Xenopus tropicalis: one gene and its partner. The protein of the gene in region 2 interacts with the protein of the main gene of each other region in a biochemical or structural test. Links are inferred from orthologs where the notes say so. Each region holds a gene or a part of one and is shown on either strand. Other genes may lie near its edges.

Region 1 (5,400 bases), on a different chromosome or scaffold from region 2:
GTGCTCAGTGGCTCTGAGGTTGCCCAGTTCTATATTAACTGGGTAAAACATTTGCTGAAATAGTTTTTTTTTTTGTGTGTATGCAAAAAATTCATAGAATGGGTGCGTATAGGAAAGTCTCATGTGCCGAAGAGTATTTTTTTGCACATTTATGAGCAGGAACAACATTGTCACCAATAACAGTAAACACACAGAACAATATATTGTCAAGCATGTGCAATTCTCTAGCATTGACTTCCTATCCCTTCTCTTATGTATGGGCAGAACTCGTTACTGACACATGCTATATGTTTGCCATGGATTGGAAAGATTTTACTATTGCCACCTTGTTTTAGTGTCACCATCTTGCCAACTATATACCTACTGTCCTACAGCCATAACTCCCTTGCCAGAGATTAATATTTCTACTTCTACAGCTGTTTTACACTAACAGGGTACATTTACGGTACATTATTGGCTTTCACAGTCTTGCTACCAACAGCTATGTGTCCCAGGGTATGGCTCCCTTCTTGGAAGCCCCAATAGACAGCCCAGTGTGAGATTTGATCGTGAAAAACATTTTTTAGTCTTTCATCAATAAATCTGAAATAAAAAAAATATAGAATAGCTATAACATAACTGTACTGATCCACCCAGAAACTAAGCTGATCTGAAGCACCTGATTTTTTTTATCCTTTAGAAACAGATTTTTCTGGGGGACCCTGCTTGAGGGTAAGATTTGGGGATACTGCCTATTTATTCTTGTATATATTCCTGGAGTTTCAGATTGAAGGTCAGTTAGAATGAGATTGGGGGGAGCACTTACTTGCTGTCCTAAATATTCTTGGGGCTCATCACTACATCACTGGTTTCAAATGTCTGTAAACTAGTCATTCAGCTAAAGGGACACTGGTCAAATGCTGAACTCCAGAAACAGTTATGCAGCAAAATAAAAAAAAAACACAGTGCAGAAATTGGCAGGGGGCAGGCAAATTCTTTGACAAGCAAAAGATTCATTGTCTTCATAAAGTATACAAATAAAGTAAATAAATCAATATCTACATAATGACACTTATTTAGGGCGAAGAGACACAGAGCTACACCAGAAAATCCCCTGCCATAGACAATACTGAGAATTGCCTCTTCTAAAACACACGTAGAGACAGTTATCAGCAAATGATCAGCATTGTCTATTTTAGTAGCTGCTACTAGTAGCTCTGTGTGTCTTCACCCATAGGGCTCTGGCACACGGGGGAGATTAGTCGCCCGCGAACAGGTACCAGAGCCCTTAGCGCTTAATTTTAAATGTAAATATTCAATGGTATTATTATGGTAATGACTCCTTTCTTCTATTAATTTACTGCCCTGCTGTACAGCACTGTGTGCATAAGTGCAGCTATATAAGTAAAAATAATTGCATACTAGTTAACAACCACATAATGGAAAAGAAAAAATGAAATAACCTGACCCATTTGTTATAACAATATTTTAAATATTTTTATGCTTTATAGTGACAGTATTTATACATTTTCTGCCATTGTTTTCTAATAGAAAGCTATATCACATTGATAGGCAATAATAATATATACTATACATATATTGTTTAACCCTCTCCCCCTTACCACCAGCAACAGATCCCAACAATTTAAAGGGAATATATCCAATATATGTTTGGAAGACCTTGTTACAGGAACATAGGGGCACACTATCCTGCAGATTATACCTGGTTGCCTGCAACAGCTGCTCTTTGTAGCTCTGTAAAATCATTTTCTTAAACAAATAAAGGGTAAGTACAAGGTGCAGGGGAGACAGATTGCGCTTTGTGTGCGCCAGTCTCTCAGGTGCCAAGTCGCTCCACTGACTAATTGTCTGGGTTCAATTCATTTATCAACACAGTAAAATCCCTTTGTTATGTGCCTTTTGTCTACTAAAACCGGACCTTAACCGGCCCCTTCCCCCCATGATGAAATAAAACCGACTCTGTTAGGTAATTCATTACCACAAATTTGCAACTAAATTTGGACGCCGGGACAGTCGGGGCTGGGTCAGGCTCAACGTAAATTGGGTGTGCTCGTAACGTCACCGCCTTCTTGTTCTGTATAAATGAGGCGCAAAGTTGCTCCCAGTTCAGACACAAGAGCTAAAGCGATCCCAGCAACGGGTTATCAGCAGCAGTAGCAGAAGTAGTAGTAAAAAAAAGTAGTAGAAGTAGTAGTATAGCCGCAGTAGTAGTGGGATAGAGAAGGTACATACCGCACAGCCCGCCTGCGCTACTCGCTCTCCATTGGAATGATCGTACTACCCGCCGCTGTGTTCCTCTCTCTGCTGGTTTTCTCTCAAGCAGGTAACTCTCTCTTCTATGGATTCTCCCATAGCGCTTTCATTATGGGAATCTCTGTTCTGCATTCCGCGGATTCACACTCAGTAGCTGAGGTTTAAAGCAAGATCTGATTGGGATCTATCCTGTAGCTACAGGCTACACTGACCTCCTTATACTGCATTTACCTCCTTAGGCTCTGATGACATTTCATCTACTAGGAACTGGACCTACTAGGGACTAAAGGGGGTGACCAAAATATTATTTACCAATAATATTATCTGAATAATTGTCATAGTGTATGGTTATCCCTTTTGTACATGGCTAAGAAACAAGAGAATAGTTTGGCAGCACCTTTCTGGATCACAAAATACTCAGATTTCTATTTATTGCCTTAGAGTAGCAAGGGAGCCAGGTGTATATATTAATACATTTTCTATTTCTAATGCATGTAGATTACAACTAGACTGTTCTGATTTCTGTTCTATATTATCTTTACAATCAGAATATTGTGACTTATAAAATGCATCCTTGGTTATTTTTTAAGGGTTATTTTCTGATAAGCTTAAATAAAGCAGTGTAATATTGAGCAAATATACTACAAAAAAAAAAAATGAAAGAGGGAAATGCATCAACTGAATGTAACTACTCTTTGTACTGTAATTGAATGATTTAATATGCTACAAAAAAGTTTCTGTTATTACTACAAATTTATATTAACATGCTGTTTATTTCCCCAGCAAACCCATGCTGTTCAAATCCCTGCCAAAACCGGGGGGTATGCATGACTGTTGGCCACGACCGCTATGAATGTGACTGCACAAGAACAGGCTTCTATGGAGAAAACTGCACTAAACGTAAGTATTTAGTTATGACCTGCCTCTGATAGGATTTATTCAGCTTTATATAAAAATGATGCTTACATATCTGTGTTCCTTACAGCGGAATTCCTATCGTGGTTGAGGCTGAAGCTGAAGCCAGCCCCCAACACAGTGCACTATATCCTGACACACTTCAAAGGACTATGGAATATAGTGAACAATATTTCCTTCCTGAGGGATGCCATTATGCGATATGTCCTGACATGTAAGTACCAACCTACTGCACTCTGTAGGGAAACTGAAATTGTAAGAGTTTCAAAGTATTTTCTTCTGATTGGCTTGATTAGTCTTGGGGAGACTTGAGATTTATTTGGCTAGTTTTACATAGAATATATGCTGTTTCCAGTAATCTTTTTTTGTTCTATACTTTGAGCACTAGATCTTTTCCATAGTAAAATATATAAACTAAAAGCTAAATCCGCCTGCAAGAGAGGAACATGCATACCTACAGTATGTACTATAAAAGTCAGATGTGCTTTACTTCCAGTAAAGGTTTGTTCTTTGTATTTCCAGCCCGATCGCACCTGATTGACAGCCCACCCACGTATAACAGCCACTATGGATATAAAAGCTGGGAGGCATTCTCCAATCTGTCCTATTATACTCGTACCTTGCCTCCTGTGGAACGTGACTGCCCTACCCCAATGGGAGTTAAAGGTGAGTTAAATACCGGTGTGCATATATATATATATATATATATATATATATATAACTAAATCAGAGGTTTAAATACTAATAGCATTATATGCTGGAAAAAAGGTTACATCTTATTGAAAGACAAGCAGAATACACAGTAATATAAACCCTAATTATGATCCTATATTGTGCAGCTGTAAATATCACTATGATTCATCTGGGTTAAATACAGTTAACAGTTAATAAACCTTTTATAGCATGCCTGGGAACTTAACCTAGTGGGTGGCAGAGTAGTATCACACTAGAAATTCCTGTTCAGTCACCTAGAATGTTTGGACCATGGATACTGGGTTGTTAATTAAATACAGCATATAAAATGAAATGGCTCAGAGTAAAGATTATGGCCAGTGCTTCATTGCAGTCCATACTCTGTAGAAACACACTTATTCGTATAATTCTTATTCTTATTCTTATGCTTATTCTTTAAGATTATATTGCAAGTAAATCCTTGTGAATTTTAATTTTTAAGTCCATGGCAATAAATCATAGCATGGACATCAATGTTTTGAGTCTAAATTCTTTATCTAATGTCATGCAAGACGGAATGGATTTTATTGCCGTGAAATTGTTTATAAGAGGATTATGGTTTTGGGCAAACAAATACAGATCTGATTTCATTTTTAACATGACTTGACAATTCCTTTGGGTTTTTTTGTGCAGGAATGAAAGAGCTTCCAAGTGCAAAGTTGGTAGTGGAGAAATTCCTGATGCGAAGAAAATTTATTCCTGACCCTCAAGGCTCCAATGTTATGTTTGCTTTTTTTGCTCAACACTTCACACACCAGTTCTTCAGAACAGATATGGCCAAAGGGGCTGCCTTCACCAAAGCATTGGGCCATGGGGTAAGGGATAGATTGCTTTTTCCTTTCCTTTCTTTTATTTTGTTTATGTCCTTCTATAGACTAGTAAAACTAACTGGGCCTGTCATCTCTTCTTACAGGTTGATCTCAATCATATCTATGGTGAAAGCTTAGAAAGGCAACATAAACTGCGTTTAATGAAAGGTGGCAAACTGAAATATCAGGTAAATGTCTTATATTATTTGGCAGCCCTTTACTGTACCTTTTTAATTTAAGGTGGTGATATGATAACAAGCACAAACTTTGCACCAGGTCTAGTAGCAACCAAATGTTTGCTTCCAATCAGTGCTGTCTGGTTGTTGTGATTTTAAAGAATAGGGGCAAACTTTGCACCTGCTATTACTTTACCCACCAGAAGACATTTCAGTTAATGAGGCAGTAGAAATGGGCCATGCACACACGGTAGACATGTAATTGAATATCTTTTACCATTGCTTTCAGATGATAAGTGGGGAAATGTACCCACCAACAGTGAAAACCACAGGAGTGGATATGGTGTACCCACCTCACATTCCAGATCACCTTCAGTTTGCCGTTGGGCAAGAGGTTTTTGGCCTTGTTCCAGGGCTGATGATGTACTCCACCATCTGGTTAAGGGAGCACAATCGGGTTTGCGACATACTTTCCAACGAGCATCCAGAATGGGACGATGAGCGCATTTTCCAAA
Region 2 (5,445 bases):
CATTACCTGATGTTACCTATAATGTGCTAGTGTATGTTAATAAGGCGGGATAGGAGATTGACAATATTATTTCAAAATACAATTAAATAAAATATAAAATAGTACAGGTATGGGACCCGTTATCCAGAATGCTCGGGACCTGGGGTTTTCCAGATAAGGATCTTTCCATAATTCGGATCTCCTACCATAAGTCTACTAAAAAAAATTATTTAAACAGAAATTCAACCCAATAGGATTGTTTTGGCTCCAATAAGGGTTAATTATACCTTAGTTGGGATCAAGTACAAGGTACAGTTGTATTATTACAGAGAAAAATTATTCATTTTTAAAAATGTGAATTATTTCATTACAATGGAGTCTATTGGATAAGGGGTCTGATACCTGTATTACTATGTGTATTTGACTTATAGTATTTTTTTATTTACAAGGATTTATTTTCCATTCCTCTTCTAACTCAAGCTTTCAAAAAGGGGTCACTGTCCCCGACAGCCAAAAAACAATTGCTCTTTGAGGCTACAATTTAATTGTTATTGTTACTTTTTAACTTACCTTTCTATTTAGACCCAACCCTATTAATTTCAGTTTCTCATTCAACTCACGATAGATATGTTGTAGGTGAATGTTGTTGCTCAGTTGTTTAAATCAACAAAATGAAAAAGTAGTGATAAAAACAACTAATATTAATATGAGTAAATAATTGGACACATGAACATTTTGTGAGAGAAGGTAATAGGAAATTGCCTTAGGTCTATGTAATCTTTAGCATTCCTGTTGTAACCTGTCTATTTCTATTCCCAACTTAAAATACAGCTCAACAACAAAAGGGCTGTATTATACATTCATCTTTTGTTTACATGTAAGATTATACATAAAAATGCACTTTTTTGGATTTAGAATTGCATTCCAACAGTAGAAAAGTATCTGTTGATTTATTCTGAATGTCTAAGTGCTTATATTTGCTTTGCATGTTTTGCTTTGCTATTGCATGTCATCTGCAAAGAAACACACCTTACTTTATATGTCATATTTAATATAATTTATAATAATATTAAATTAATGTAACAACACTTTCCTATCCTTTGATTTACCCCGTTAACAATAATGTTCTGGCTCCTGTCACAACCTGTAAACCCTAAACACTGAAATTCCTGAATCAACATATTGTGGTGGACAGTATCAAAACACTTGCTGAAAATTCACCCTAGTCTACCATTTTGGTTACCCAGTCCAACTCAATGAATGAAAAATTATACCAGTTATAACAGTGGAGTAAACTCGCCACTTAATATATTGGGTCCAGGTACTTAAGTCACAGAAGGCAGGCAGAAACTGGATGTCTTGCCAACAACGTCGGGTAAAAGTGTAGCTTCATTTAAAAAAAATCTCATCACGAAAAAGGCTTAAGCATTTTGTGTTCTTATGTATACACTCTGTCATAGTCCAGCTTAGTCTCACATGATCTTCCAGTGGCAAATCCATGCTGCCTTGGATCCTGCAAATTACTGGCTTTTAGGTGTTTCATATTTTGTGATTCTATTACTTTCCTTACAATGTGTGATATGAAACTATAAATTCTAGAATTGCTTTCATCCTCTGCTTCCCCTATTACAACACCAAGGTTGAATCTAGCATTGTGTAGAAGGCGATGTTTATTTAGGGTGATATTTTAAAATATATATTTCCACATCAATGCTGTAAATAAAGGAGGTATAAAAAGAGAGAATATTTATGGTTTAGACAACAATATTTTTTAAAGACTTCTAAAATATTGCTGCCAGTGTATATAAATCATGTGTGTTGCTTGGAAATATTATTAATAATTGGCTTCCTCCTATTGTTTCATAACTTTGTCAGAACTAGGTGTGAAAGGCAGAATGGAAAGCACACACTGAAAGCTGTTGGGGTTTTAGGAAAGTTAACAGTGTGCAGCAGTGTATGCCTGGATTTCAATGCCTTGTACCTCTTGCATTGCACAGGGTGGACTCAGAAGTCTGTGGCTTCCAGCACCCAATTTAAGGCTGGTGTTCCATGAGCCCTGGGGATGTGTCTCAGTTCAACAGGGCTGTCATCCAAGCCCAAACCATGCAGAACAAACATTGGAGCCTGGCCAGCAACAATCCTGCTCACAGCCACCTCCTTCCCCTCCTTCCTAGCTGTGCCTTTACACAATGCACTATCTTCCTCCCTGGAATCTTTTAAATCATAACTCCCTGAAATCTCAAACAGAGCAGCCAGCAACTGAAGAACAGCATGTCTGGTGGCAAATACATAGATGAAGAGGTAGGACTGGCCATTGCTTATAACTGGGAGTTGCTTAGCTTATGCACTGTAGTTAATCCTGGGACAGTATGCAGTGACTGCACTTTAGGTGTATACCTATATTTTGTGGTCGCATATTGCATTACATGTAACTTCCACTTACTTACATAGCAACTGGTGATAGCTACAGATTTCAGGCTCAGAACCCCCTGAAAAAATGGTACAGCCCATTTTGGACTCCCTCCCTACCCTCCCTACCAGTCTGCATGCCAAGGAAAAAGTTACCTCCTAAAAAATAACTTGATGGATAATAAATGTGTTGGGGGAGTAAGAGATGGAATGTTACTTGGCTCTGTATATAGAGTTGTGCTTGGTACTTGAATGCACTGATAACCTGCTTAAAACAAGGCTTTACACAAAGATTCACAACCTGCGGCTTCCCAGTTATTACTGACAGCTACAGACAGTGGGCTCATGCTAGGAGATGTAGTTCAGCAGCAGCTGGAAAACATATGCCAAAGCCTTTTTTTTAGGACCTTGCCATACTACAGTGCTTGGAGATTACATACCCTGTGCTAAAGAACTACTGCTGTTCACAAACAGTTACACAGTAAAATAATCACAGACTCGCACTTTATTGAAACATATCAGTTTACATATGAATACATACTATGTGTATACAGTACCATTTTAGGATGTAGGTGAGGTATGTATAGTGGTGTGTCAAAATGCCTCTGGTTAGTGGTTTTAGCTGGATTTCCACTGTACACATATGGAAAGAAGGCAGCCAGAATCATGGACCACAGCTAAAGTAACACTTTATTCACATGTACAGTCTAATAACACTATGGATGGAGGGACAGATGTGATGTACAATAATCGCAACGAGAAAAAGTTACCTATAGGTCACGTTGATCGTTTTTCACTGATAGGGCTGCTTTTGTAAGTAATTGTTACTTGAAGTTCCTAAACCTGTTTTTTTAACCTGACTGTACCTTCTCAACCTGTCAGTTATAGCTTCTAATGCTAATGGACTCCTGCTGCACAAATGTGGCAGCCCCCTCATATAGGAACATGAGGATTGGATGTGTAATGAAAAAAAGCCAAAGACAACAAAAAGACAATGTTGTTGCAAAAAGGGTTTCATTTCTGGTTGCAGTATCTCTTTAAGAAAAATGGGCCTTCAGGATGCCACTGAATGGAAGAGAAGAGTCTGATTCTAGCAATAGACAAGAAAGCACAAAAGATGTAGAAAGAGGTTACTGGGGGATGAAGGAAGCATAAAGGCATCTATTTTGAAGGAGGATATTGCATGGCAGTGTTAAGAGCCTAAACAGGAATTAAGGATCTGGTTATTAGGGGCATGTCAGGAGATGGTTTTAGCAATGCTATGTAGACATGGAGATGGCTTAATGGATTTCTGAAAAGAGCAGGAGTCAAAATGTTAGGCATCCCTCAGTGAATTAAATCGCTACTGAACCTTTAAAATTAACTATATGAATTGATTTTTAAACTAAAGTTCCATTTAATGTGCTTTTTATGATCTGCCATTTAAACTATAATCTAGGTTACTAGGTCCAATCAGTGTTTTTTAACGTCACTATGAAAGATCAATAGACAAAGGCCTAAATAGTAAAAGACAGAATTTAAAATTAAAAAAAAAAATAATTGCAAAGTGCAAAGATCAAGCACCGTCAGTATATGTCTGTGGAGGGCCTACATTGCCCACTGCAGAATTATCACATCTGCTGACTGTACATAATTATGACTTTGTTTCTTATCATTTTATGCACTTCTTTTGCTTCTTCTGAATCAATTTTATTAACCTGAATAAATTATAGGAAAAATGTGTTTTGGAAGAAAACAAGGGAGAAGTAGGACACACTGTATATAAAAGACAAAAATTGTATTGTTCAGTGCTTGGCTTGTGGCAGAGGAAAACGGGAGGTTCCCAGTTGGCAACCAGATAAATGATGTGACAGAGAAGTATAACCTGAGGATGTCCAACTTTTGTAAAATATTTCTTGGCATCGCTAATCCTGTTTTGTAGACAAAATGGTTTCATCCCAAAGGTGTGTAAAGCTGGCTATACATAACCAGATCTGGTCAGGGAGTTTGGACGATTTTGACCACACTACCTAAACATCTAAATATGTCAGGTGGGGGGGGGATCTGAACTGGCCAGTTTGCAATCCTGTTGGTTGAAGATGGTCTCTCCAGTTTGACAGTATTTCATCTGCTCATGCCTATACCAAACCATTTTATTCATCATATTATGTTATTTAGATATGGGCCCTACAGCCCTAATTGTAATAGCACATCAGACGTTACAGAAAAAGTGTCCACCACATCTGACTTAACCCTGCCCTCTTCAAACCTGAACCTGCCCCAATCCGGCCAGCTGTAATTTTTTATATACACGTGCCTGCCCCTCTCTGATATAACTGAAGTCAGCAGGGAGGGGGGAGAGCATATATAAGAGCAACAGCAGGTGGGCAAAAGAGATAATGATGTCATGGGGGGAGGGGGGCGTGGGAATAGTTTGGCCCTCCATTCACCTGCCACAAGCAAAAAAAGTGATTGGCCTGCCCAAACTCACATCACTAGTCCATGGCTACCATCCATCAGAAAGAAGCAGGGGTATAGAATGCCTTGTCTGCTTGTCACCATTCTTAATGGTACTTAAAGGAAAGGGTCCTGACTGCATGCCTGTTATTGACTAAAATTAGGAGTGAGGTCTACAGTGGACTAGTGATGTGTGGGTCAGGAAATATTCAACCCAAAATGTTAGGTCGCTAATATAAAATAGATCACTAAGTGCTCCTGCTAGGAACCTGCGGAAAAAACTGGAGCGATGCATCAACATTTTACTCCACTTTCTACTGCGGCCCCAGGCATCCCCAGTGTTAATTCCTGTTCATGCAAGCGCAATAGTGCATACCCGAGATTTTACTCTACTGCGTATGTGCAGAATGCCAAGTGCCAAGGAAGGAGATGACAGTGTGGCACTCAATTTTTTCCACAGGTTCTTTCCTAAAAGGAGCACCAGCCTAGGGAAAAAAACTTAGCAATCTATTTCACTGGGGGGATGTAATGTCCAATATGTGAATAATGGCAAACATTGTGATTCTGAGCATTTTGTTTCCCACTATGCTCAAGCCCTATTTAAAGTGAATGGGAAGAGCA

What was found.
Region 1: the proteins of cav1 (region 2) and ptgs2 form a complex in vitro, tested with the Homo sapiens proteins (2 studies listed by BioGRID). The link is inferred for Xenopus tropicalis from reciprocal best matches to the Homo sapiens genes CAV1 and PTGS2.

Annotation. Positions count from the first base shown.
Region 1 is NC_030680.2:119,579,901-119,585,300, forward strand, and holds the start of ptgs2 (prostaglandin G/H synthase 2 precursor), read left to right. Parts: upstream 1-2,124; 5' UTR 2,125-2,268; coding exon 2,269-2,323; intron 2,324-3,036; coding exon 3,037-3,153; intron 3,154-3,238; coding exon 3,239-3,382; intron 3,383-3,690; coding exon 3,691-3,834; intron 3,835-4,533; coding exon 4,534-4,715; intron 4,716-4,813; coding exon 4,814-4,897; intron 4,898-5,174; coding exon 5,175-5,400. UniProt on the Homo sapiens protein: Dual cyclooxygenase and peroxidase in the biosynthesis pathway of prostanoids, a class of C20 oxylipins mainly derived from arachidonate ((5Z,8Z,11Z,14Z)-eicosatetraenoate, AA, C20:4(n-6)), with a particular role in the inflammatory response.
Region 2 is NC_030679.2:68,063,528-68,068,972, forward strand, and holds the start of cav1 (caveolin-1), read left to right. Parts: upstream 1-2,217; 5' UTR 2,218-2,250; coding exon 2,251-2,280; intron 2,281-5,445. UniProt on the Homo sapiens protein: May act as a scaffolding protein within caveolar membranes. Forms a stable heterooligomeric complex with CAV2 that targets to lipid rafts and drives caveolae formation. Mediates the recruitment of CAVIN proteins (CAVIN1/2/3/4) to the caveolae.